Saccharomyces cerevisiae S288C: one gene and its partners. Changing the gene in region 2 together with the main gene of any one other region gives a genetic interaction. Each region holds a gene or a part of one and is shown on either strand. Other genes may lie near its edges. The genes, in order: MDL1, RPS21A, SIP1 and TMA20.

Region 1 (8,689 bases), on a different chromosome or scaffold from region 2:
AAAGAAAACCAAAATTGAAGTCCCAAAGCGTGGCAATAAAAGAACAAGTAACTGCAAGAACACCAAGAAGCTACAGTAAGAAATGAAAAGGATTTTCTCTGGTGTGAAGTCCCCAAAGTTATCTGCTCCCCCAAAAGTTTTCAAAAATGATGAGAGCCCATCCACTCCGAGCTCTCCCAAATTCGACCAAGGGCTTCGAAGTTTATCAGCATCAGCTTCAAGACTCTTCAGTAACTCAATATCCACTCCTGGGAGCCCTACGTTAGATCTTCCGCAAGAACACTCTATTAATGGTGATATCTCACCAGAACTAGTACCAATCGTTACTTTACTCTCTGCACAGGCTCATAGGAGATACCATTATGGTATATTCTTGATATTACATGATTTGAAGACAGACGGAACACCTGCCGCGCGTCAGTGGGAAGAATGCTATGGTGTGTTGCTAGGAACTCAGCTGGCTTTATGGGATGCAAAAGAATTATCAGATTCCAAGAATAATAAGAACACATCAACCATGAAAAAAGCCGCATCGAGACCTTCTTTTATCAATTTTACAGATGCTTCTGTGAGGAGTTTGGACGCTAATGATCAGGTAATCATTGCATCAGAGAACGAAAAGACAAAGAAAGATCTAGACAATGTTCTTGTTGTTTCAACAACTTTAAAAAACAGGTATTTCTTAAAATTCAAAAATTCAAAATCATTCAAAACTTGGAACGCAGCAATTAGGCTTAGTTTGTTCGAGTTTACGGCGTTGCAAGAGGCCTACACGGGCTCATTTTTGTCAAGCAGAGGTGTTAAACTTGGTGATATCAAAGTTGTTATGGCAGATACAAAATTCACTTATGAGGACTGGGTTAGCGTAAGATTCGGGACAGGTATGCCATGGAAACGTTGTTATGCTGTTATTTCTCCACAGTCTGGCAAAAAAAAGAAAAATTCGAAAGGTTCAATATGTTTCTATGAAAATAACAAAAAAACCAAAAAATCAAACATAATGACAACGGTAGTAGATGCACGGGCTTTATATGCCGTTTATCCTTCCTCGCCGATATTAATCGACACATCTACAATCATAAAATTGGAAGGTTTTGTCTCTTTTGACAAAAGTGAGGAACCTCAAGAAACCAACCTATTTATCATGCCTGAAAAGCATCAAGGTGTTCCGGGATATGACACTATTATTCGCTTCTTAATCCCAGCTATGAACGCGTTCTACTTATATGGTAGGCCAAAGGGTTTGATTGCCAACAGAACTGACCCAGACTCCCTGCTGTTTGCCTTACCCACTCTTCCGCATATATATTATTTGCAGGTGGATGACGTTTTATCATTAACAAAAGACAAAAATTACATACATTGGAGTGCTGCTGATTGGAGGAATAACATTGTTCAAGTATTACAGAAAAAATTAAGTAAGGGCTATAAAGGCTGTGGTAATAAAACTGTATCAGTTTCATCTGGGATGATGAAGTCGCCGGCAATTAGTTCAGCTGAATTATTTGAAGGGTACGATTCTCTCCCTGAAAGACAAATGGAAAGTCCGCAAAAATCTAAGATGAAGTCTCCTACATTAGCATCGACCGATGATATTAATTCCGCTTCTGCTTCCGTAAACTCACATGCTACCTCAGTAAAACAAACTGAATTATTTGTGACTGATAATTCTTCAAAAATCAATGACTCTGTGTCGGCGCAGTCCAGTGTCACTACTAACTTCAAAGATACTTTTACCACCCCAATGACATCAGGAATGCTCAACCATGAAAATTCAGAGAGAAGCTTTGGTTCAGGATTAAAACTCAAAATCACTGATTCAAATTTGGAAAATATGGAAGACGTTGAAGCGAAATCTGCTAACGAATTCTCTACGACACCAGAAGACAAACATATTCACCTCGCCAATGCAGCCGAATTATCCGCCCTTTACGACAAATATTCCACATCTCCGTTTGGTAAATCGGAGGCTAATTCAAGCCCTAAACCTCAAAAATTGGAAGTTAAAGATCGGTCAAAAAATGAAAACAGAAGCCCCTATGAGAGATACGTAGGTACATCCGCTGAAAGCAAGACATTTGAAATAGGTAACGTCAGAGAGTCGAAAAGTACGATAAATACTTCCCTTTCTTCGCCTTTGAGGGTAGAAGATAGTAGACGTTCAAAAAATGAGGACCTGGGATCTTTGAAAGAGTTTGAAGAGTTATCTCAAAAGATTAGCAATATGGGAATGGCAAATATTTCTTCAGAAGCTTTAAGTGACACAGCAGAAAACAGTTCTTTTGTTACGGACCTGAACTTGAATATCAATAACAGTTCATCGGTCAATCTCAATGAAGAACAACGTGTGCCGGATTTTGGGGAGGAAAACGTATTTGATCCAGATTATATGGAACAAAACCAAATGTTGGAAACAGAAAGTAGGTACACTACGGATGAGTTTGACTTTTCAGATAATCAGGATGCAGCATCCAGTAATTATAGCAATGGGCAAACCAACCGAACAGTAACTGAAACCCTTTCTGCCAGTGACAGAAATGACAAGATCCCACATTCTTCTTTATTTACAAACTTAAACCAGCTTACTTCGAATGGAGGAAACTATCAGGATAGGGAAGATTTCTCTGGTGATCAAATAAACAAACCTCAACAATCTCAACCACTTCATGTGAAAGGACCACAAACTTCGTCATTTGGTTACAGAAATTCTTCAGCCAATAGCTCGCAGCCTCAAGCACCATACCCGGTTGGTCGCCCGTTAGGTAAGATAAGAACGGGTCCGCTGACCGTCCAGCCTATGCAACAAGGTGGAAACTCATCAATGTATTCTTTCCAATCTTCGCAACATCGGTTTCATTCGTCGCAACAGCGCCAAAACCAATCACTTTCCTTCAGAAACAATACCTATGGAAGTGGTAACAATCAAAATACATTCCATCCATCGCCGCAACTGCAACAACAGCCTCAAAATATGAGATATTTGAATAATAAGTTACCAATAAATGATAGATCTCCAATACCGCAAACACAGCACCATGTACCAGATGGCCGTCCCAGCCTCCATATAAATACCACTAACCGCACAAATCCGCTTACTGCACAAAGTGGATTTTCTCAATTTATGCCTCCCAATAGCACATCAACCAACCCATATTCCAGCTGATTCATTTATATTTCATCTTTTCTTTTTTTTTTTTTTACAATTCAGTAGTTTTATATAACTTCCCATAAATGTATTATTTTTTTAATACGACTATAATATACCTCTATACCCTTATTTATCTCTTTACCTTTGCTTTTAAGCTAAACAAATCTTCATTAACAGGTATTATATTACTGGCGTCGCGTTTCGTTTAGGCGCATCGAGCCGAGACTTCAGAATCACAAATGCTTTGTATATATGTTACGTATTCAGTATTGCCCAACATGCAACTAGATTCAACTAAGCAGACGTGGGTACTTACATGAGAAGCAGATCATTGAAATTTTACTAAGTTAAAGAAGAGGAAGGGCTCCAATGATTGTAAGAATGATACGTCTTTGTAAAGGTCCAAAGTTGTTGCGAAGTCAATTCGCATCAGCAAGTGCACTATATTCAACCAAGTCATTGTTCAAACCTCCCATGTACCAAAAAGCGGAAATTAATTTGATTATTCCACATAGAAAGCACTTTTTGTTGCGGTCGATTCGATTACAATCAGACATTGCGCAAGGAAAGAAGTCCACCAAGCCCACTTTAAAGTTGTCCAATGCAAATTCAAAATCCTCGGGGTTTAAAGACATTAAACGGCTATTCGTCTTATCTAAACCGGAATCCAAGTACATTGGTCTTGCCCTCCTTTTAATCCTCATTTCAAGTTCAGTTAGTATGGCTGTACCTTCCGTTATCGGTAAATTATTAGACTTGGCTTCCGAAAGTGACGGCGAAGATGAAGAGGGCTCAAAAAGCAATAAGTTATATGGTTTTACGAAGAAGCAATTTTTCACAGCATTAGGAGCAGTATTTATAATTGGAGCAGTTGCTAATGCAAGCAGAATCATCATTTTAAAGGTCACCGGTGAGAGACTGGTCGCAAGATTAAGAACGAGAACAATGAAAGCTGCATTAGATCAAGATGCCACATTTTTAGATACTAATCGTGTCGGTGATTTGATCTCAAGATTATCATCTGATGCATCTATAGTGGCCAAATCGGTCACACAAAACGTCTCTGATGGAACAAGGGCAATTATTCAAGGGTTTGTCGGTTTTGGCATGATGAGCTTCCTCTCGTGGAAATTGACTTGCGTAATGATGATTTTAGCCCCTCCTTTAGGTGCTATGGCACTGATATATGGTAGGAAAATACGAAACCTATCAAGACAGTTACAAACCTCAGTAGGTGGGTTAACAAAAGTGGCAGAAGAGCAATTAAATGCTACTAGGACAATTCAAGCATATGGTGGTGAAAAAAACGAGGTTCGCCGCTATGCAAAAGAGGTTAGAAATGTATTTCATATTGGTCTGAAGGAAGCGGTTACTTCCGGTTTATTCTTCGGAAGTACTGGGCTAGTTGGCAACACTGCAATGCTGTCGTTATTATTGGTTGGAACAAGCATGATTCAAAGTGGTTCAATGACTGTCGGTGAATTATCTAGTTTCATGATGTATGCCGTGTATACCGGAAGTTCATTATTTGGTTTATCGAGCTTCTATTCAGAACTTATGAAAGGTGCTGGTGCGGCTGCCAGGGTTTTTGAATTAAATGACCGTAAGCCATTGATTCGTCCGACTATTGGAAAGGATCCTGTGTCATTAGCCCAAAAACCCATCGTTTTCAAAAACGTGTCATTCACTTATCCCACTCGGCCCAAACACCAGATTTTCAAGGATTTGAATATTACTATCAAGCCTGGTGAACACGTTTGCGCTGTCGGTCCATCAGGAAGCGGCAAATCAACAATTGCGTCTTTGTTGCTCAGGTACTACGATGTGAACTCAGGATCGATCGAATTTGGTGATGAAGACATCAGAAATTTCAACTTGAGGAAGTATCGAAGACTAATAGGATACGTGCAACAAGAACCACTACTTTTCAATGGGACTATTCTGGACAATATCCTCTACTGCATTCCGCCTGAAATTGCGGAGCAGGATGATCGTATTAGACGTGCTATTGGAAAAGCTAATTGCACAAAATTTTTGGCCAATTTTCCAGATGGATTGCAGACTATGGTTGGTGCTAGAGGCGCGCAATTGTCCGGTGGTCAAAAGCAAAGAATTGCATTAGCTAGAGCGTTTTTACTAGATCCTGCCGTCCTTATTTTAGATGAAGCAACCAGTGCCCTTGACTCTCAAAGTGAAGAAATAGTTGCCAAAAATCTTCAGAGACGTGTGGAAAGGGGGTTCACTACTATATCAATTGCACATAGGCTTTCGACGATCAAACACAGTACTAGGGTGATTGTGTTAGGAAAACATGGCTCAGTGGTTGAAACCGGTTCATTCCGAGATCTAATCGCCATTCCTAATAGTGAACTAAATGCGCTGCTTGCCGAACAGCAGGACGAGGAAGGAAAAGGGGGAGTGATAGATTTGGACAATAGTGTTGCCCGGGAAGTATAAGAAGTTGCCGCAGTATGGAATCACTTTTCTATGCCACAGTTATGGTATGTGTTGGAAGACAATTAATTATCGCATTATGTTTGCTGAATATGAAATTGTGTATTCTATAATTTAAATGATGCCCAATGTAATTTACACAAACAGTTTTTTTTTAAAGCTCCTTGTACGCCTTTATACACATTAAATTAATATTAGATGCACAACATACGGTACGTTTAGGAAACTCAAATTAAGCTTTATTTTTTTACTTTTTTATTATTGTTACTATTATTCTTATTATCAACATTATCGTTTTCATATCTTTCCTGAGTACAAATATGACTGAAACTTACAAAAAAAAAATTAATTATTTATTACTATTAATGATTAGATGTTACGCTTTTTTATAAAAGTGAGAGTGATACTCGGTTTAAATCATCGTCCACCCTTCATCCGTTGTTTCAGCAGGTGTCAGTTTGGTTGCATCTACATTTTCCTCTTTCTTGCGCGGAGTTTTCACTCTTGATAAAGTAACGCTTCTTGCATACTCAAGTTCGTTGTAAATTGCACTTATTGCAGTTTTAATCCCATCTTCTTTGGAAATTTTCTTCTTTATTAATCCAGCTCTATCCTTCATTATTTTGTTCGTCGTAGCTACTTTTAAAGCATCTGCTAATGTTTGAGCGTTAAGTTTCTTTAAAGCAATACCAACTCCAATGTCTTCTACTCTACCTGCATAAAAGAACTGATCACCAAAGAAAGGTTTTATAACAGTAGGTAAACCAGCACGTAATGAAGCTCCAGTAGTTCCAGAACCACCATGGTGAACGGCAGCATCGACTTGTGGGAACAACCAATCATGGGGAACGTTTCCGATATTTAAAATGTTTCTTGGAAGATCTACCTCTGTCTTCTTTGCCGCCTTATCGCCCAACCTTTCTGACCATCCCTTATTTAAAATGCAGTATACATCTGCTTCCATAACTGCTTCGACAAGAGCTTCCGTCATTTCTTTGGCATTAGAGACTACAATCGAACCAAACCCGATATAAACCAATTTTTTTCCTTTTGATCTTGCCTCAGAAATAAATTCTTGTAATTCTGCTGGCGGTTTGAAAGTACTCTTATCATCAAGAAACCAATATCCTGTAACTCTCACCCACTCGCTAAAATCAATTGATGGCGGAAAAATTGTAGGAGAAACATTGTATAAGAAAGGAACATTATTCTGCTGTAAAAGAAAAAGATTTGTTTTCCCTAAACCTAGAGTTTCAACTCTCCACTTGTTTACTTGCCCACTAATTCCCTTCCAGAAAACGTTTTCGAAAAGGACATGTGTCAGGTAGTTATAGTTACCGCCCCTTTTTTGATCTGGTACAATAAATGCATGTGGATATGCTCTTGTTCTTGTCCATGGCATGGTAAATGCTCGAAAATAAGGAATTTGCAATGCTTCAGTAATATGAATACCAACCATAGCTGAGGGTGATTCAATCAGAATATCAAATTTTCTTCTGTTACAAACCTCCCAAGATGTCTGTAAAAGAGCATCGATCCATCCCCTAAATTTGCTCGAAGCTTCTCTCAGCATTTTAACATTCATTGATTCATTTTCCACCATCAAGGACATCAACTCCACTGGGTTACCAGCAATCTCTTCAAACTGGATTCCATGACTTTCAACAAAGTCTCTAAATTCCGAATGTGTAATTATTACCACTTGGTGACCTTCTTTTATCAAGCCCTTTCCAAGTGCAATATATGGTTGAACATCCCCTCTTGAGCCAATCGTCAATAATCCAAACTTATAACTCTTGTTTGGTTTTATGCTTGTTTTATAGTGCGGATTCTCATCAATCATTAACGGTACCTCAAAGCCCTCGGCATTAATTTTATCTTCGAAAAGCTTCAACTTCGCTGAGTCAGGGTTATGCTGAACATCGCCAAGAGAAGCACTCGATATATTCGATCCTTCTGCACTGCTTGCATATATGTTATCTAAGAGCTTTAAAAGAATGCGTTCAATATCATCCCTGGCGACCTCAGTGCTAAATTCAAAAAATAGCTCCTCGTGACCGTGAATTACTATAACCAATACAAAATAACCAAATCGAAATCCCTTTTCTTTATAGCATGTCTCCACATCAACCAATGGCAAAACCATGTATGTATTAGACCCTGGTAATAACGATCTGAAGCACACCGTATCATTGGATACGTAAATCTTACCATAAACGGGAACATTTCTATTCAGGTATGTGTAGTAAGTACTGATTAGTGACTTCTCTTTATTAAACTTGAAATGGTACCTGAACCGCTCGTTAGCAGAAACCTCTTCTGTTTCTTTAATCAAATAGGTATCATCCTTTTGAAACGGGATAAACTTGTTCCGGTAGTGTATTGGTTTGGCAGCCCACATTTCGGCAAAATTTTTGAGGTGACTTGGCTTCCAAGCTACGGTTTGCTCTTGACTATCTTCTTGTTCATGAATATGAATCGTGGAATGCACAGAAGAGTCTATATCATTCGCCGCATCTTTATATATTTCCTCCACATCCTCAACTTGAGAATCTTCAAGAGGTTTAGCTCTACGAAACCAACTATTGCTTCTTTCTCTAAATCTGAATCGACTCTTTTTCCCATTTTCCGAAGAAGGCACAGCCGAAGTTGGAACATTCAAATATTTTGAATCCTCGCCGTTATTCTTTTGCTCAACTGTAGCTGGTGTCTCTTTTCCAAAACTTGATTTTGATTTCTTGGCTGGAATATCATAATAAAGTGTATTAACACCGGATTTCTGCAATATAGCCAACTGTTCGCCAAGGCTCTCTTTGACCTGACTACCGGACCCATCCATGAAAACAAACATGAAATCATCGATAGCATAGGTCTGTGAGCTCTCCAAAGCTCTTAATCTCAATGTTAAAGCTTTGTTGACTATAGGTTGATCATCTATCTCTATAATGTTGGGCAGCGGAATTTTTAAACTTATCGAATTGTTTTCAGAATTCTGAGCTGCGAACTGCTCCTTTTTCAAAGCGTTCACCCACGATTTAGCGGAGAACTCTGAATCTGCATTGAATTTGAATGTACTTTCATCTGTGT
Region 2 (4,377 bases):
AATCCCTACTAAGTCTCCACCACGAATTGCCAACAATATTGAAGTAAGTCAAGAGTAAAGGCATAGCTTACAAGCAACAAACATTTTCAGGCACCCTTATACTCTGCTTCTTATCGACATATATAGCACCTCTTTAAGCAAGCTTAAGGTTGTTAGTACGTTTTGACTCCTGAAAATGTATAACACACAAGTAGAGTAGTAATATTTACGGGGTTTTGGGGTCTTTTTTTTGCTCGGGGGTTTCTCAGGGACTCCACACTGCAAAACTTTAAACAGAATAGCCAAGAATACAATGACTCTTCAAATTAAACAGGTTCCGGTTGTCTAAAAATACAATATATTATTATAACCTAAATACCTATAGAGTACCTAAAACGCTTCATCGAAAATCCGACGAATTAGAACATATGGTGAAAAGTTGGTAATGAAGAGAAAAATCGTCAGTTACCTATTAGTCTGAACGATATGAAGCTTAAATCGAATCCTCTTTTTCTTTTCTCTTAACGTGAGTAAGACCAGACGTTCTTTAACAAACCATCGTTTTGAGCCAAACGGTTCAAAGAATCATCAGATTCACCTCTGGATCTAACGTAACCGGACAAAGCGTAGGTAACGTACTCACCTGGGATAGCACGTCCTTCTTCATCAACCTTAGCGACGTTGATTTGAACAGATGCGTGGTCATCAGCCTTGATGATTCTGTTGGTAGCAGAACATTTTCTTGGAACGTAAAGTTCGACCTGATGTAAAACAAATCTTTGTTAGTTATGCTAGTTTAAAAAACACATTGTTGGTGGTGGTGAGTGATGATTTAATACATGTGAAGAAAGTAATCGAAGAATTTTGTCAGAAATTGCTCAACTTTTGTAGGCTGCATTCAGAGCTGGTCTATGGCACCTTCGGAGTTGCTTATTATCGGTAACCATAAGTATGTTTTCCATACATTGCGGATGCCTACGTTTTGTTTGCATTATGATATCTTTCTTACATTTATTTAAACAGCCATGCACTTTCCATTCATCCGTTAAAATATAAAAAATCTTATAGATTTCTCGAACATACTAATTGGCCCTTATCGTTTTCCATTTTGGTATGATGTTTCTATGGTTTGTATGTGGTTAATTTACGCCTGATCACCTTATATCTTCCGCTAAACTCTCTACTAAACATTAGAATAACGTATATGAAATTTTCAAAAAATCGTTGTGCATAATATCACTCTACACGTTACCTTTTTAGTGTAATTTTCGTTCATTTCGAATTGAAAAATGAATCTGAGATACATTTTCAATTTTCAAAATGTACGGATTTAAAAGTACAGGAAGACATTTACTCTAGAAAGATATACATAGTGATAGATATTTTATATGTGCAATTAGATTCTCTTCATTATACACACACTCTCAACGTGGTGCGTTTGTGGAAAGAAATCAAATCCTCTTATGCTTTCAATCTGGTGGGCGGAACCGTTTTCTGTTTCTTTGAGGAAGTACTCGACATCACGTGCCTGGGAATGGACATTACACGATATGTAAATAATCTTGGCTGGATTATATGCGGCTAATTGCTTTAGGAATAATTCGTCACAGCCCTTGCGTGGTGGATCCAAGATAACGGAAGTGTTTTCACTTGGAGTATCAATAGACTCAAAGAGTTTCTCAGCCTTTCCAACGATGAATCTACAGTTTTCAACACCATTTGCCTTTGCATTTTTTTCTGCAAAAGAGACACTGTCAGCGGAAATTTCTACACCAATCACTTTATCTACGCCCTTGGAGCTGCATATACTGAAAAGACCTGATCCACAATAAGCATCTACTAGAAACTTTGTTTTATTATCATCACCTTTAGCGGGAGCTTGCAAGTTATCACGGACATACTTGGTCACTATTGGCAGGATAGAGTTATTATTTTGAAAAAACTCACCCGCACTAAAATTAAAAGTATATCCATCAACATATTCAGTGACAATTTGTCTAGGATTGGTAACGCAAGTTTTAGCCAGCCTGACATTGTTCTTTTTGTCTTCGACTTCGACATAACTTATATCACCATTTTCATCCCTAGAGGCTTCTTCGGTTAACTGTTCTAAAGTTGGTTTGGAAGGGTCTAAAATAGTGGTATTCTCTCTCAGTAAAATAGTCGCGCCTTTTTTGTAGTTTTTAAACTCTTGCTCAAACTTTCTTCTTTCATTAGTCAATCCTTTGTTGAGAACTTCAGTTGCAAGCACACATTCATCGATATCTAATATCGAACCATGTCCGCCGATATCCAAAGTATCTTTTCTCCATTGAGGTCTACCCTTTTGACCAAATCCTAAAGGAGGCCTTACTGATAGTTCCTTTTGTTTTCTTTTTGGCATATCGAAATGAGGCGTAATTTTGGTCCTGTAGCCAAATTGTAAAGGGGAAGCTACGGTGGTGTCAAATGGGGGTAAAAGTTTTTCAGCAACTAACCTTGGTGCGAAGAACTTGTAGGCATTCATAATTGTTTTTCTTTTCAATTCTAGTTGGTCATCGTAAGTTAAGAACTCTAATTGACTTCCTGAAGATTTCCCGAAATATTTATCCCTAATTAAATCATCTCTTCTCATTGGAGATTTTTCCACTACGTCTAATAAATCACTCTCGACATAGTAAGGGTGGGTCTTAAAGACTTTGATATTAACTACATCACCGGGCAGGCCAAACGGTATGATAACAACTTGCTTCTTTTCTGTTTCAACAGGATTATCGATCAAAGCCAACCCGTTGCCATTGGAAGTAATTTCTAAGACCTTGACATTTTTTACCTCTCGGTGATATTGTAAGACGATAGGTCCATCTGTTGAGGACTTATCATTTAGAATTGAAGTAACATCGTTCAGAACCTGCTCCCTGGACAAATTTTGAGATTTTAACAAATCGTTCACTTCAAATTCTAGGACACCCATCGGAGAAGTTGTTTCAACCTTTTTGGCCTTGTACTTTCTCAACTTTGGCTTCTTAGTCCGGCGGTTACCAGAATCTGTCAAAGGAGACGAAAGCCTTTTGTTGTCAACGGTATGTTTCATTGTTGGTGGTACCATTTCAGTACTTCCAGTCATGGTGCTGATTAGTTTATAATTATGCTTCTTGACAAAGTTTCTGCAAGCGAAAAACCTAGCTTTAAATATAGACTTCTGTACGGTCCAAAAGCAACGCATGCATGTGATAATACTCCAGCGTTTTATCGATGAGATGAGATGAGCTTTATATTTAACCTTATTGTCTGAATTTTCGAAGAAAAAAAAAGAAAATTCAAACTGTTCGTACATAATGACTTTGTCCTAAACTATTCCTCTAAAATAAAATGACAGATTTGTACTTTTATGTCACAGAAGCTTTTATTAAGTATTTAATGTAATTAGGCTAGATTAATATCGAATTAGTACTTTATGACATCGAATTAAAATGAATTATTATGATAAAATTGGGATAAATTCGAATATATTGGAGCGGTATATCACACCAGATTCAGAAAAATGGAAGTTAAATTAAATCAGGTTCTAATTGTTTCGTCTTGATAAATAAGATAGCGGAAGATAGTAAAATGTGTGTATTTTTTCTTGCCACTTTTCAAATGTTGTAAGTGCGTACAGAATGGGCAACAGAATAATCTTCATCATTATTCTTACATTATAATACACTTGTTTTTTCTTAATCTTTTCGTTCCGGAAATAGAGACGCTGGTATCTCCAGTAGAAGAATCGATATCTGATCTGGTGGTATTTCTTTTAAAGGGATTTTTGATTGTATGTGTAGGCTCTCTGGGAGCATATAATGAATCGGAAAGTAACGTGTGTATGGCAGTTTCAAATACTTCATCGATATTTTCTTTCAATCGTGCTGAGCATTGAATATGTGCAAATGCCCCCAGACGCTTGGCCAAGGATTCTGCTGAACTTGGTTCCACCAGATCTGAAAGGTTATCAGCTTCATATAGATCTGATTTAAGGCCGACTAGCATGATTGGAGTGGAAGGACAAAAATGCTTAACCTCTGGGAACCAGAGATCTTCCACATTTTTAAGCGATGTCTTACTACCAACAGAATAGCACACCATCAGCACATCTGCATTCGTATATGAAAGCGGTCTAAGTCTACTATACTCTTCTTGGCCGGCAGTGTCCCATAATGCCAATTCTATAATTTGACCGTTGGGTCCTTCTATGTTTGTGACATAATTTTCGAAAATAGTAGGAATATAATCAGTCGGAAATGTTCCTTGGACATAAGATATCAGCAGGCACGTCTTCCCTACAGCGCCATCTCCCACAACAACAATCTTTAGGTGATAATCTGGCAGTTTGTTTGTACGTTTCATCTGCTCATAACTAGGAATGGTAGAAAGGCTTCT
Region 3 (9,143 bases), on a different chromosome or scaffold from region 2:
CCCATTAGGGGGATTGACGTTATATGGCTCTGGAGATGGTGGTTATGTCCCTAGTTTAACCTCATCAAGCGTCTTGGATTCTTCAAAAGGAAATTCCCAAAACATAGATGGAACTTACAAGTATGGAGCTTTGGATGACTTTATCAATTCATTCACAGATTCTGCATCTGCAGGAAAGTATGCTGTAAAAATAATCATCTTTTTGATTGTTTTAACTATTGGCGTACTCTTGTGGTTATTCGTTGCATTTTTTGCTTTCCGTCATAGAAATATATTATTGAAAAGACACCCAAGGAACTGCATAGGGAAAAGCCTCAATAATGAGAGGGAACTTGAAAGTACCGAGCTTTCCCGCTCTTCTTCTGGAAACCAAGTTTATAATGAAAAGCCGCCAGAATCTGAAAATGAAAGTGTTTACTCTGCGGTAGATGATCATTATATTGTGACTGGCGAAAACACAGTCTATAATACTATTCACAGATTACATTATACCATTAATGATGACGGTGATCTATTGTACAGGGACGCAATCCCCCTCGATTTTGATCAAACCAATGGGGATGATGGTTCGGGAATAGACAGTATAGTAAGAGACTGCGTGTATGACAAAAACCAAGATGCTACGGAAGCCTTCTTGAATGATGAGGAGTCCATATCAGGCATTCTAGATGTTGATGAAAATGGTGATATTCGATTATACGACAGTTATTCTGACAATGAAGAGTCAAACAGTTTTCACTTGCCAGACGAAGTTATTGAAAACTATAACAAGAACCATTTGTGCGAAACTAAACTTCATGGACTAGGCACTGAATCATGTACTACAGATGATCCCGATACTGGAAATCAAATTACGAATGAGTTTTCTACAGGGAGTCAGACATGTTTGCCAAGTACCGCTTATACCACACCCCTTCATACAAATTCGATTAAACTTCACACATTACGCTACACAGAATCTTCACTACCAAAGCCAAATCAGACTCTTTTCTCTAATCTTGAAGATTTAGAAATAGAGGATATTGACGACAATGGTAGTGTTTCAGATGTACATATCGAGGAGCTGGATGCTTTAGACGAAGAACTTTATAAGAGAATGTCGAAAGTTATAAAACAACAGAACCATCAAACGACAAAAATATAGCGAAAAATGATTATTGACTGTGCAATAAACGCTGCTGGAAGGGGCGCTTGCAACAAAAGATGATCACAAAAATTGATACCCATTAATACACATAGGCTCACGCCATTACTATTATTATATATATCATCAAGTATTGCATTTGTAATTTTATGAGTCCTTCTTAGTAATACATGAAGGCTTTTTTTTAATATTTTCGGAATCAACGAGAGTACACTATTCTATCCGATGATAACCGAGATAAATGAAGATAGTAACTAACCAATGAAAAAAGAGCGAGAATAAATTAAAGCAATAATATCAAGTTAGTCGTGGGAATATATGATCCACGCATAATAAGGTTACATTAAGCACTGCTTTATCCTCTATGTCTGCTAAGAAAAGGCCTTCGGGAAACGCAGCATTTGAACTTCCAAAACGGAGAAGAACCTACCAAGCTTGCATCAGCTGCAGATCAAGGAAGGTGAAATGTGATCTTGGTCCGGTTGATAACCCACACGACCCACCGTGTGCACGTTGCAAAAGGGAGCTAAAAAAATGTATTTTTAGCTCTAATAAGGGAACTTCGAACGACTTGCCTCCTAATTCGATTAATGCAATAAGTCTGCCATCTCTAGGTAAGAGTAAGCAAGAGATACAAAATGACTCAACGAGCCCAATTTTATCGGATGTACCTTTGTCAAGAAAAGGGATTAGCAGTGAAAAATCATTTAAATCAGAAGGGATGAAGTGGAAGCTTGAACTTTCCTCCATGCAGAACGCCCTAGAGTTTCTGGCCCAAGCTGCTGGAACTGTAGCAAAAGAAGGCGCAAAAGAAATCATAAAAGAGAAGTCCACAACACCGAAACCACTGAAAAGTTCTTTGGATGCGACAAATAAATCTGCTACGGACGAGGGGTTGAAACGACTTTCAAAAAGTGACAGTACTAACACACTTTACGAAAATACAGCAGATATGCTTAACCACACGCTGAATACGAATAGGAAAACATCACAATTAATGGAAGAAATCGGGAAAGTGAGACCTCCACCTACCCGGAAAATTGACGACTTCGATTACATCGGTCCAGATAGCTTGCTTACTAAAGAGGAGGCGATTGAACTCATAGAGGCATTTTTTCTCACGATGCACCCATTCTTTCCCAATATCCCACTTCAATTGCATGATCCGAAAGAATTAGCAGAATATCCAATTTTGTTTTGTGCAATTTTGACTGTTTCTGCTCGCTATCATCCTTTCGATACTTTAGGATTAGACAATGGAGAAGATGGGATGAGACACATTGAAGTTCACGATAAATTATGGGTGTATTGCCAGAAGCTTATATCTCAAACAATTTGGGCAGAGGCTAGTACTAGGTCAATTGGCACCGTGCTTGCTTTCATAATTTTCACGGAATGGAACCCAAGGAGTATCCACTATAAATGGTCTGACTATGCAAATGATCCTGAGTTAAATAATGTCAACGCTAGAGGAAGTAAGAATATTAGTACGAGGAAGGACGAAGAAGGATTGACCGGTGTCGGCGCAATCCGTAGAAGCGACCGAATGTCATGGATGCTGACAGGGTCTGCAGTAAGGCTGGCGCAAGATATGGGATTCATTGAAAACAGCTCAAAAGTATTCATTGTCACTCATATATCTGAGACTACCAGTGCTATGAATATGAATCAAAGATCCTTATTAGCAGAATCATTCAGCGTTTTAAACTTGAATTTAGGAAAAATTGAAAACGATGGAAATGAAAGCAATGAGGATTACCTTGGGAATGAAAAATTTTATCTGAATGAGATTTTGCCTGATGAAGAAAGTAAACTAAGGTGGAAGAGAGTTTTTGAAAACTCAGAAAATGACCACGACAACGAGAAAAATTTTTTGACTGATTGGGAGAGGGAGTTTTTAAACGATGAGTATGTTCTATATTATTCTAATAAAAAAGATGATACTAATCTAGCACAGAATCACATACCACCATTTCCACTAAGATTCTCATTCGCCCAAAGAGCAAAAATAGAGATCATTCGAATCCTATCCATAGCATATGAGACGATTTACTGTGAGAAGAATAAGAGGAAATTGGCAACGACAGATCAGAGACACAACCTCTCTGTCCTAAGTGTTTTTTCTCCCTTGATAGAGGGCTGGCTCAGTAACTACAGAGAGCTTCTTGTACCCCTTTCTGATGTCCCTTTCTCACTAGCAGATAGGAAGAACAAAAAACAAATATTTGATAACATCGATAGAATAAATGGTGAAAGTATTATCACAGATTTCAATTATTGTCAACTTTATATCTTTTCCCTCGCACTGCAAGTGGATGGGAAAACAAGCAGATTGAATATGAATGAAATTGTGACAAGCGCGAGGTATGTGGAATTAGCATACAGATCTGCAAAAGAAATATTGAGTTCTGCAAAGCGAGTTTCAAGGCAAGGAATGCTAAAATACATGCCCGTAAGATGGGTAATACGAATAATTAGATCCATTGCGTTCATAGTAAAATGCTACCTAACACTTACTGGTAGTGAACTGGCAACAAATCCAGATGCCAGAAACATTTTAAAATTAAGTGCAATATCGGTTGACGAAACATTCGATATCATCCGTGACACTGCGGTTACTTTGAAAGAAGCTACACCAGATGAATTACATCTATGTCAAAGATACGCAGCCATATTAATGTACTTATGTACAGAGATGAAACTTCGAAAAAAATCTTACTTAGAACGACCACCCTTATTAAGAGATGGCACCACTCCTCTAGAGAGCAATCGCGAATCCTCACTGGAGGGACAAGACTTAACTAAGAAGCCAATATTCTCTAAACGTATTGGATATAATAAAACCGAGACTACTTTTGAACCCTCGGAAAGGCCTTTGACGGAGGAAATTAATAGCAATTCTCAGAATTCAAATGATACATCTTCTAAAGGTATCGTTGATCCTTTTGTTGAACAAAACAACGATATCACAACAGCGTTACTGAACAATGAACTCTTCCAAGGTCCATCTCTATCTGACGAGGTTACAGATTGGTTCGGTGCTAGTGAAGATATCGGGCTTGAATTTGTAGAACCATGGACAGAACTTATTGAGCAACGATATATGCAATGTGGAGATGGTGATAATAATAATTTCGAAAATTTATACAACTTGTTCGTGAATAGTAATAACATCAATAATGATATTAATAACTCAAGGCCAATAACGCGTAAATAAGTAGATATCAAAGAATTACGTCATCAACCAAGACAACCGCACTATTCGTAAAAATGATTTTAAATACAAAGACAGAATAACAGGGGAAGATGGAGGTATATAATAATGCGAATGCTTCATAATACTATGACTGGTTTTCCATTGGGCATATGAGATGATTTTACGGCTCAATCACTACTTATATATGATTTCTATAACAAAGCAGGCCATTACACATTAGGAACGGCTATCTATTACATAAGAATATGCAGCAAATTCGTTGGATATGTTAAAGTATATTCCACGCATGCTGAGAAGTGGATTGCCAGAAACGTGACGTGAAATACCTACTAGAACAAAAAAAAAAGGAATGCAAACGTTCTAGGAGCCATAGGAATCAAAAAGAAAAAAATTGAATTAATAGAGTTCGTGAGAATCATTGCGAATTGAGATTCTAATTACTGATCTGAGACTTTTGTGTTTTATAATAACAAGGTGCATAAACTACTTGAGTGATAAATTTCCCCTCATATCTAGTAGTGCAAGCTACGCTGATTATTTCATCTCTAATACTGCTTGTCAGTAAATGGTTCAAATTCACGTGGGGTATAATATGATTTATCGCACCTTCATCCCTCTCATGTGATTCTGAATTCTGATTGCTTTGGTTTAGTATTCTGTTCAGATAGGATGAATTCAGGTATATGGGCAAGTCAGGAACTGGGTATCTACTTAGAAAAACCGCCTCTGCTGTTTCTGCATCAATATTACCGCCTTGCTGTAAAGTAGCAAATAAATCATCTTGATTACAGTCAACAACTCTATGTGTAAAGCTGGGAGGTTCTTGGGGATGCACGTCATCAGAATCTCCTTTTACAGAAATCGTAGAGCCGTCACCTATATTAAATAAATTTGGTATTTCGTTCGAATACACCAACCTCTCAGGCTTGACCTCGGCCATCAAATCCAAACTGCTAGCCTTCAGACGTACAAATGAGTCACGCATATTTATTGAACTGGACCTACTTAAGCCTCTATAATCTGAAAACGGTGTACTTGGCCTTTCAACACCCTTAGCAGAATAGTAGGAAGATTTTCGAGAGGAAGAAGGAAATCTTTTAAGTTCCGGTCTCTTGGGCAATTCTTCATCCAGTGTTGGCTCTACTTGCGAGTCGATGTCTGCTTCGTTTCTAAATGGCTCGATCGTATGATAACCGGGCAATACTTCAAACCAGTTGACAAAATTGCCTTCTGAATCCGTAGCTGTAGGAAGAAAATTTGAGTGAGTCAATATACCATTGATGGAGAATTGCAGTCTATAAATTCCTGCAGGCAAAAAAAGATCTGGAACAAACCATTCCTTATGCACATCATCATAAACCATGCGGATCCTAGGATTTAACTGTTTTTCTGAGTCTAAACTTGCATTCTCATCCAAGGTAAGCTCTCTTTGCTCTTTAAGAGCAGAAGCAATATCCGTGCTTACTATAAAGACTTCCGTGGTTGCAGCCACGGTACCATCGTCTTTCCATTTTAGAACAACTAAAGTATTTTCGGTGGAGTTTGTTGATGATATTGAAGACATACTCGACATGGAATTAGAGTGATGCGATATTTCTCTATGCTGCGGTGCAGAGTATTGACTTTCATTGTCGTTAATAATTGGATGTAGTGGATGCAAAGGCTGCAAATTCAAACCGTTTGTTAAGATACTCTTTCTTGATTGTAAAGAATGCAAAGAAGCAAATGAGGATCTTCTCGAATTTGAAACCGACCTTATTTTTTTATTCTGGGCTTTCTTTGTCTTATTATGGTGCTTATTTAAATCTCTTTCCATCAAGGTCTTATCACCGTACAGTTTCATCATCATTTTTGCAGTAGCAGATATAGGTGCGGTAAAATCGTCGTTGGAGCCTCCCGCGTTTCCCTTGTTACGGGTGTTATTTTCAATATTTCCATTGTTATTAGCGTGGCTTATCCTTTCTGCAGTATACATTGAATTAGAGGAATTCACCCTTGAAAGACGTTGCATATCCTTTTTTAAAGCATTTTGTAAAAGAGACTGGTTCAAAACCATATCTTCACTTTGAAGTACGCCTGCTTCTGCATCTACACTATCACTGTTTCCCTCTTTATCCATTTGAGAGTTCTCAGAAAATGTTTCGTCGTTATTGAGATATTGATATTGGTATGCATGGATAGATGGTTTCTTTGAATAGGGTTGTCTTACAGGAATATCAATGGAATCCGTCTTGGTCAAGGCGGGAAGTGATGCTGAATGCACCGATGAAGACCTCGTTGGAGAAGGGGAAGCAGTAGCTGAACTTTCTAAAAGATTTTTTTTCAAAGCTATGATGCTTGAGCGATGCCTTTCATGGTGTGGTTTGTCGTTTCTTTCATTTTCTGTTGTTTCGTCAACCATGGTGTAATTCAAAGTAGACAGATCATCCAGATCACTTTTAGTTCGTTTGACAGTGGCCATTGATGGACCTGGGCTCAAAAACGACGGAGATTTCACCTGCTCTTCGGGTGCACCCACATCGTGATCATCACTTAAAGTCAAATTGGCCAACGTAGTGTCATTTACGTCTGCGGCAGAGGACAAAGAATAATCCTTTTTGAATAGATGGGACGGGCCCTTATCGATAGTAGTATCACTGCTCATGCGCCCATCACAATCTGTCGATGGATCGTGAGATGCAAGTAATTGCATTCTAGGGGGAATGGCACCATTATGTTCGCTAGTATGACTGGCGCGTCTCTTATGAGTACTCTTCCTATTGTTAAACAGTTGAGAGGTTATGCTTCCCTGACGATCTTTATTGAATGCATCATGAAAATGATGTCCATGCTCCTTTTTGGTTGAATGCGATGGATCCTGAGTAGAAGGACTGTTTCCCATGGCGGCTGCAACAACTATATAATATGACAGTTCAACTTTCCAAGATGTCAGTCCACACGCAAAAAAAGAAGTGCAAATGAAAGAAACACTAGGTAAGACACCTTGTTTATGTAGGTATCCACTTGTATCGGATATATCTACCATTGTTAATTGTCAATAGTATTCCATCAGAGACAATGGTAAAAAGACAAAAAAGGTATAATCATCGTACAAAGCGATCAATATTACATGCTCTCATCCAACATTATGTATACTCAAGATATGTTTATATGCTACAGGAGCTGTCTAACCAGAGCACTCTGTAAGTCGCGAGCTTTGACTACTATTTTGCAGTCATCTGTACATTTTGCCTTGATTATTAATTCGCTGCATAAATCATCTATGTCCAACGATGAATATTTTGGTAGGGAGGAGATCTCTTCGAGAATGTGGTAGCAAGACGCTTTTCCATTCGATATGGCGCTGCTAATGTGTTCAATTGCTTCAGATTGGGTTCGAATTGTTTTAGTATGAGAAGCAGCCACCGGAAGCACCGAAGCTAGAGATTTCTGATTCAACAGGTGGCTTGTTATTAAGTCGCATTTGATCTCCTTATTTGAACATGGTTTGGTCCCGATACACTTGCGGTTGCAAATATTATTACACTGGCTCCCTACAGCAAGGGGAAGCACGCTGGGGAATAAAGTATCATCTTCTGTCTCGTATGGAAGATACTTTTGGTCAATTTCACATTGACATGCTGACGTATCTATTTTTTCAGCGGTCAGGCGTTCAGAGTGCTGAGGAAAGTAGTTATGAATGTCGTAATCTAAAGCTTCTAGACCAGTCTGTCTATCATTGGAGACAAGATCGAGACTGAAATCTGGCATTTCACTACCATTAATACTTTCGTCACCGATGGTAACGGCACCTGTTCGATTTCCGGGGGGAGAATCCCACGAATTGGTTAAACTGGGAGCGTTCCATGAGCCTATGTTCCACATAACTTTCTCATTCTCTTGAGTGTGCGGCTGTACTTCTATACTTGTGTTCACAGTCATGTTTTCATCTGAATTAGGCGATGGCAATTCCTTTGCAGCCTTGCTAACTGCTGTACTTGTTCCTTTTTCGTTTTCCCTTTTCTGTTGTTCTTGCAGATCATCGAGGAAGGCTAATATTCTTTCATCATCAGAATTCTTAGCTCTATATTTTGTAATTTCCGACAGTAAACTTTTTAAAGAACATAGTAAAAAGTCCGTGGTAGTCTTATTCTGCGCATCTTTCTGTTCTAGTAACTCTACCCTCTCTTGCAAACTCTTCATTTTGGCTTCTTTCCTATCTCGGAACGCTCGTTGAGCTGCCCTATTCTGGGCAGTCCTCCTACTCTTAGCTTCAGAGTCAATCCTTTTTCTGCCTGGTCTGCCCACCTTCCTCTTAGGTGTTCCATCTTTATTTAGCAACATTTGCTTCTTCATGTCACCTGCTAAATATATTTGCTGACCTTTCCGAAGGATATTGCCCATTTATCTTAACTGGTCGTTCCATTGCTTATATGTCGTCCTTAAAAGTAACACCCCATTCGTATGAAAGTATAATAGTAATTGATTATCGATTAACTATTGAAGAAACACTATTTATGCTGTTTTGAAAACTAAAAACGCCAGTGGACCGATATAGAAATAAACAAAATGGCCCTTTTCGTGTGTCACGTAGCTCCCAAAGTTCTTTCCGACAATCACATGCCAGGTATTGCCGTATTTGACATCCAATTGCTTCTTTACCGTCCCAGCAATGTCTCTTTCCAACTGGTACTTGTCCAGAGCATCTTTACTGATGGTTAAAATATCCTCTTTCAGCTTGTCGGTCTAAGTTTTCTCCTTGTTAGTAAATATATATATTCAAATGTACACACACAAAACATG
Region 4 (7,285 bases), on a different chromosome or scaffold from region 2:
ATGTACAAAATCTATTTATCCGTTACTTTTAAAGAACATGCCTTGTGATGACGAGCCGTGCTTGTTTAATGGTGTTCATGCTCCTCGAATAGACTTTGCCAATGACAAATTTATAGGTACTTCTGAGTACTGGTACACTGCCAACGACGTATTCAAACTTGGGGGCGAATACAACTTTGACAAATTTAGCAAAAGCCTAAGGGAGTTTTGCAATTCCAATTGGACGCAAATATTAGCGAACAGTGATAAAGGCGTGTATAATTCTATTCCGGAGAATTTTTTGAAAGATGCATGCTTTAAGGGCAATTGGGTCCTTAATATACTTCATGAAGGGTTTGATATGCCTCGAATAGATGTCGACGCAGAAAATGTCAATGACAGGCCCTTATTTCAAAGTGTGGAAAAAGTCGAAGAACGAGAGTTATCGTGGACACTAGGCAGAATTTTACTTTATGCCTCAGGTAGCATATTGGCAGGTAATGATGACTTCATGGTGGGTATTGCGCCCAGTGAAAGAAGAACTAAGCTCACTGGTAAGAAATTCATACCTGGCAAGTTACTGGAGTCTGATCAACTACGCAAGCAAAGTTCCAGCCTTTCTAATAAAGGATTTTTGATGTGGTTCGCAATTATTTGTTGCATATTTTACTTGATCTTTCATAGGTCACACATAATCAGAAGACGTTTTTCCGGTCTGTACAACATTACCAAGGACTTTAAGACAGGCATAAGGAGAAGGTTGAAATTTCTAAGGAGATCAGATCCATTTTCCAGATTGGAGGAAGGTGAACTTGGAACAGACGTAGATGGCTTCAAAGATGTGTACAGGATGAAGAGTAGCAGTATGTTTGATCTTGGTAAGAGTTCAGCCACAATGCAAAGGGAGCACGAACCACAAAGGACAGCAAGTCAGTCCGCTAATCTCGCTCCGTCAAACTTACGACCTGCGTTTTCTATGGCTGATTTTTCCAAATTTAAGGACAGTAGGCTATATGATTGAATGTGGTGGTGTATGTGCCATAAATAGAAGCGCATATACTTCTCACATAAATATATGTATATATCTAGTGAGGTGCCATAGTATTGCATTAACAGTGATTCACGTCACTCTAAACGTCGCTTCTGTTTTTTTTTTGAAATTTTTTTCTCACAGCTGCTGAAAATTTTCGAGCGAGGCGATGAGATGAGCTAATTATATCAAGAGGGAATTGTACTAGTAATACTTTGGTACACACAAGAACAAGCATATAGGTATACAGTCACGACTATAATATCATAAAATGAGAGTCAGAAAGCGCCAATCTAGAAGAACATCTACCAAGTTGAAGGAAGGTATTAAGAAGAAGGCTTCTGCCCATAGAAAAAAGGAAAAGAAGATGGCTAAGAAGGACGTTACTTGGAGATCAAGGTCTAAGAAAGACCCTGGTATTCCTTCTAACTTTCCTTATAAGGCTAAGATCTTAGAAGAAATAGAAGCCAAAAAAATGAAGGACTTAGAGGAAAGAGAGCTTGCCAAACAACAACGATTGGAGGCTAGGAAAGCTGCCAAGGAACAAGGCGTTGATGCAATGGATGAAGACATGATAGAAGACGATGAAAATGGATTAGCAGCTTTGGTTGAGTCTGCTCAGCAAGCAGCTGCTGAATATGAGGGCACACCCTCTAATGATGCAGATGTTCGTGATGATGAATTGGACGTCATTGATTATAACATTGATTTCTACGGTGAAGATGTAGAAGGCGAGTCAGAACTTGAAAAATCTAGGAAAGCTTATGACAAGATTTTCAAATCCGTTATTGATGCTTCTGATGTCATCCTATATGTTTTGGATGCCAGAGATCCAGAGAGTACAAGATCAAGAAAGGTGGAAGAAGCCGTCTTACAAAGTCAGGGTAAAAGGCTGATTTTAATACTGAACAAAGTTGATTTAATTCCCCCACATGTATTGGAACAATGGTTAAATTACTTAAAGTCTAGTTTTCCTACAATCCCATTAAGAGCTTCTTCTGGTGCAGTCAACGGAACTTCTTTCAACAGAAAGCTAAGCCAAACCACTACTGCAAGTGCACTGCTAGAGTCGCTGAAAACTTACTCTAATAACAGCAATTTGAAGAGATCTATTGTAGTGGGTGTTATCGGTTATCCAAATGTTGGTAAATCATCTGTTATCAACGCTCTTTTGGCGCGCCGTGGAGGTCAATCAAAGGCTTGCCCAGTCGGTAATGAAGCAGGTGTTACTACCTCTCTGAGAGAGATCAAAATCGACAACAAGTTGAAGATTCTAGATTCTCCTGGTATATGTTTCCCAAGCGAAAATAAGAAAAGATCGAAAGTTGAACATGAAGCTGAATTAGCTCTTCTAAATGCTCTACCGGCAAAACACATTGTTGATCCGTATCCAGCTGTCTTAATGTTGGTAAAGAGACTAGCTAAATCAGATGAAATGACAGAGAGCTTTAAAAAGCTGTATGAAATTCCTCCTATTCCTGCTAATGATGCAGATACGTTTACAAAACATTTCTTAATTCACGTCGCTCGTAAAAGAGGTAGATTAGGGAAAGGCGGTATTCCAAATCTTGCCAGTGCTGGTCTTTCGGTACTTAATGACTGGAGGGATGGTAAAATTCTTGGTTGGGTTTTACCAAATACATCGGCAGCTGCATCTCAACAAGATAAACAAAATCTAAGTACTATAAACACTGGCACTAAACAAGCTCCAATTGCAGCAAATGAATCCACCATTGTATCCGAGTGGTCCAAAGAATTTGATTTGGATGGATTATTTAGCTCTCTTGACAAGGCCATAGATGCTAGCAAAGATCAAGATACAATGATGGAATAAATAAGTCATATGTAAGGCTATTTTTATGTAAGGGGTGTTTCTTATTTTTTCTTTATCATCAAATAACATTACTGTAAATTATAGGTGTGCTTTTAAACTCATTACTATACATCTTATTTTTTTTAGTTTTACTGCCTTTTTGCTCTTTGGACAAAGAAATCATTAAAAAGTTCCAACTTTTATTATGTTTCATATATAAGATATACAAAATATAAAATGCAAAACGAATTTCAGAGATAGCATGACTTATGAAATTGGGGACAGACTCAAGATTGGTGGATATTTTTGCACCATCAAATTCATAGGTGTTATTAAGCCGTGGCCTTCGGTAAAAGCTTATGGGGTGGAATGGGACGATCACAGCCGGGGAAAACATTCTGGAACAATAGATGACATACACTATTTTGACGTTCAAATTCCTAATTCAGGATCATTTTTGAAGGAGTCTAAGATTAAATCTCCAGGTGTACGCAGAATTACGTTTTACGAAGCATTGTCAGAAAAGTATGGAGGCTCGAGTAATAACATTAATGACCTATCTATAGGTAACAAAAGGGTTGAGGGTTTGGGATTCGATGAACTAAATGCGAGAAATAAGAATTATAAGAAGTTAAGAAAAATAGCTTTGCGAGATTCCGATGTCGCTATATTGTTTCAAAATCAAGATGAGTTAAACCGTGTAATACAAAATTGTGTGAACGTCAAGGACCTTGATTTATCGCTTAATCTATTCACGAATATCAACTCTTTATGTGAGTTCATAGAACCTTTGAAGAACTTGGAGAGCCTTAATATATCTCAAAATAAACTTTTAAGCGGTTGGGACAACTTGAAAGAATATGACCTATCACACATCAAAACTTTACGTCTGTCTTCCTGTGGTTTAAGTTATAAACATATTGGTAAGCTGCTCAAAAGCTTCAGGACACTGAAAATGTTGGATTTAAGCTATAACAACTTGACCAGTGCGGGAATCCAAAATTTTGAGAATGAAATACCGTGTACTTTGGAGGAACTGAATATTAGCGGAAATAATCTTATATCGTTTCCATTGTTTCCAAAAAATTTGACATTGAAAGGTTTAAATGTCTCCAATAATCAAATTTCTAGAGCACCAAGTATTGCTATTTATTCTGTTGAATCCTTGGATATAACAGATAACAAATTTAAGGAAAGAAGTTTGATAGATGATTTGAATAAGACATTTCCCTCTTTGAAAAATATCCATCTGAGTGGCAACGAATTCAACTACAACGGAAATTATATTAACGTCGAAGAACAGGCTACTTTTTATGAAGTACTGGCTAGGTTTGATCGTGTGATGGTATTGAATGGATCAATATGTGATGTAAAAACAAGAAGAGAGGCTGAGATGTTTTTTGTTTCCAAGGTAATGAATAACGAATTGAGCTATGACACCAATCTGCCGCGTTGGTCAAGCCTCATAAAGTCGTATGAAATCGATATGAGTAAGCTAAGTTTCAACAATGAAAGAGAAACACGGCAATCTCTTGTCTTAAAAATAAAGATAAGAGCTGGCAAGAAGCCGAGTAGTGATTTAGATTATTGGGTCCTTCCCAGTTTTACAGTAAGGTACGTTAAGAGTGTAATATGTCGAAAGCTAAACTTTGACATACTGAATGTTAAGTTATTTCATGAAAATTCTGAAGGGATGATAAACGAAATAAAGTATAATTTTCGCCCCATTTCAGATTTTAATGTTGTGAACGGAGATATTATTCATGTTTCGTCTCCAGTAAATAACAAGAGCATTCAGAAGGTTAACAGCCCATCGTAATCACAGTATATAGTTAATCTTGGCTAGTTGCATATTTAAAAATCAGGAAACAGCCTTTTAGATTGTAAGCGGATGTTATTCTAATTTTTTCTTAGTTTCTTTATTTTATTATGTAGCAGATGGATAGTAATATAGTGTTGACGGCTCCGTTTGTTACTCAACGCTGAAGTTCCATAAGGGGTCGCCCAAATGGTGAATCAATTCTATGGAATGACCTTTGTTCACTGATTTAATTTCTTCAGTACCCATCATCAATTCACCAATAGCCAATGCATTCTCTTTATTTTCGGCATTGATGACTACAATCGTACCTTTCTCGTAACCAGGAGCAGGTGGTAAGTCGGCACCCGCAGAAGTTAGGCCAGGGCACATGATATTAGCACCTGAGAGAACGAATTTAATAGCACCTCTATCAACCTGAACAGTGGGATAAGCCTCTGGAAATTTGTGTACTAATTTCAGGCTTGGAATCAGTTCATCGAATTTTTGAAAAAAAAGAACTTCACCATCGACGGAATACAATTGGATCTTATCTTCACATTTAATCAACTCGATTTGACTCTTCTTAGGAATTAATTCATCAATAACATCTTCTATTTTGGGGTACTGCTTGACCAATTTGGCCTTTAACGTTCTTTGAATTGAAGATTTGACCTTTGAACGTGAATGGACATCTTCTCTTGTGAATCTATCGATGATGATGTTAGTAATTGCTTACTGAGTCAAAAGTGTACACTAACCCCTGGTAAAACCAGTGAATTACGCAATATTCATTCTCATGTTAGACATACTTCTTAAACATTTCCTCTCTGCTGTTTTAGTTTACCGTCTTTGTCTTTTATATGGTTTTACATAAGGTTATAGCAAAATCAAGTTTTTTCACACAATAATTTTTCAGATAATTAAATTTTTCGTCATTTTTACACCTACAAATACAAAGCATAAGAGTAAGGTAACTATGAATTTAGTGGAAAATGACCATAATGATAATTATCAATAGATAAAATTATGGTTTTTGAGGTGAAGTTGAGGTCTCGTTTATAGACGGCACTGTCAGGTAATTGGTCAACTCTCCTATACAAAGTTTACTGTATCGGGTGAAAAGAAAGACACACAAGAAGGAGAACACTCATGCCTACCATTTTAGTTGCCATTTCTGTATTACTTACAATTCCAGCTTCTATAACGTGAACTCACATTAGAGAATTCGGTGAAAAAGAAAAGAAAAATATGGTTGGGCCCTCAATTGAATGTTTCAGTCCGGTATCCCTAACCTATTTTTTGATATTACTTCCAAAGAAAAATAAACAGTCCCTTTGAAAGAATGAATATCGGTAATGAAAAAAGGTATTCCAAAAATTCCCTACATAGTCTTGAAGTATTCAAAAGCGAACACCGAATTGACCATGAGGAGACGGTCTGGTTTATAATTAAATTTCAACCAGCAAAAACACAATCTCGGACGAATCCTCACTGATATGCGTATTTCCCGTGCATAAGGATGGAGTATTAAGGAAGGAAGTGAAAGAAAAGAAAATGCATTAAACGTAAGTAACAATAGTAATTGGACAATGAAGCTAACTAATATTCTGTTCCTTTTATATTCAGAAAAAAAAATTCGAAAACTAATATATCATTTTACACGATATTTGAAATTGAAATTTATCAAAATATTTACTTAATTAGTCTAAATATGTAATATGAAGCGACAATGCAGAGGTTACTTAGGCATTCTTGTATTCCTCGAACGCACTTATGATATCGTTCTTCGTGAAGCGTATGTTTGTCCCTCTATAGTGTTTATCAATTACAGTGTATAGTTTCAAGTATAGTGAGACGGTTTGACCTTGAATGCACGACCACAACTTATCGCATAGGACGTTGTTTATGGCATTTTCTTGGTGGTAACCGAAGTCATTTACCATATGAGTGTGCAGCCTTTTTACTAGAGTTTCAATTTCATGGGAAGTGTATGCTAAAAGAATGTTCTCTAGGTTCTGCCTGCTATATGCGGCCCATCTTGAAGGATTGGTCATGTTCACATTGTTGGTATTTTCAATGATGTTGCTCACACCATAAACAAAGGCTGTTAGTTTAGGCATAGTATCGCGGAGTAGAAAGGAAGCATAAGATTCTTTTTCCACATCGAAAACTTTCTTAACGTTTTGCAATGACGTATCAAATATACCATCCTTATTGAAGTTTAACATGGAAAGCATTTCAGTTAGCCAGTTACTGTTCACTAGGAGAGAAATAGTTTCCATATAGTCATTATTTAAAGCAGCAGTATCTGAAAGGTTTGGATTAATGCTTGAATTAACTTCTTTGTGAGTTATCGATCGTGTGGCAGCTATGCTTAGCTTCCTGAAGCTCGAATTCATTAATTCGATGGACTCGTAGCCTTCATCGGTATCTTTAATATCCATAGACCTCTTAGCAAATTGGAACAAATCTTCTGAATTCTTCAAGCCTACTGGTAAATCAAGTATACCTGGAAGAATTTCTCCATTGGTGGTTGCGTTAGAAATTCTTTCGAAGTGCAAAACCTGCTCTTCTACATTATCAGACCACACTTGTTTTATTTGTGTGTACATTCTAGTCACTGCAGACAATAAAAATTCATGGTTGGATGATTCTAAGCTTT

The links.
Region 1: mutations in RPS21A (region 2) and MDL1 together harm fitness more than expected from each alone (negative genetic interaction), as found in Saccharomyces cerevisiae (2 studies listed by BioGRID).
Region 3: mutations in RPS21A (region 2) and SIP1 together harm fitness more than expected from each alone (negative genetic interaction), as found in Saccharomyces cerevisiae (2 studies listed by BioGRID).
Region 4: mutations in RPS21A (region 2) and TMA20 together harm fitness more than expected from each alone (negative genetic interaction), as found in Saccharomyces cerevisiae (2 studies listed by BioGRID).

The regions. Positions count from the first base shown.
Region 1 is NC_001144.5:524,783-533,471, forward strand, and holds MDL1 (ATP-binding cassette permease MDL1), read left to right. Parts: upstream 1-3,517; coding exon 3,518-5,605; downstream 5,606-8,689. Other genes in the region: SKG3 (Skg3p), read left to right, coding at 83-3,163; ATG26 (sterol 3-beta-glucosyltransferase), read right to left, coding at 6,015-8,689. UniProt on the Saccharomyces cerevisiae protein: Mediates export of peptides with molecular masses of 2100 to 600 daltons generated upon proteolysis of mitochondrial inner membrane proteins.
Region 2 is NC_001143.9:548,366-552,742, reverse strand, and holds RPS21A (40S ribosomal protein eS21 RPS21A), read right to left. Parts: upstream 1,087-4,377; coding exon 1,063-1,086; intron 741-1,062; coding exon 501-740; downstream 1-500. Other genes in the region: TRM2 (tRNA (uracil(54)-C(5))-methyltransferase), read right to left, coding at 1,376-3,295; Rho family GTPase RHO4, read right to left, coding at 3,652-4,377.
Region 3 is NC_001136.10:1,310,532-1,319,674, forward strand, and holds SIP1 (Sip1p), read right to left. Parts: upstream 7,243-9,143; coding exon 4,795-7,242; downstream 1-4,794. Other genes in the region: HKR1 (Hkr1p), read left to right, coding at 1-1,144; ARO80 (Aro80p), read left to right, coding at 1,509-4,361; CAD1 (Cad1p), read right to left, coding at 7,515-8,744; DYN2 (dynein light chain), read right to left, coding at 8,856-9,086. UniProt on the Saccharomyces cerevisiae protein: Beta subunit of the SNF1 kinase complex, which is required for transcriptional, metabolic, and developmental adaptations in response to glucose limitation.
Region 4 is NC_001137.3:161,443-168,727, forward strand, and holds TMA20 (translation machinery-associated protein 20), read right to left. Parts: upstream 5,444-7,285; coding exon 5,433-5,443; intron 5,330-5,432; coding exon 4,795-5,329; downstream 1-4,794. Other genes in the region: YND1 (apyrase), read left to right, coding at 1-1,000; RNA-binding GTPase NUG1, read left to right, coding at 1,281-2,843; PAC2 (Pac2p), read left to right, coding at 3,085-4,641; GTP-Rho binding exocyst subunit SEC3, read right to left, coding at 6,366-7,285. UniProt on the Saccharomyces cerevisiae protein: Involved in translation.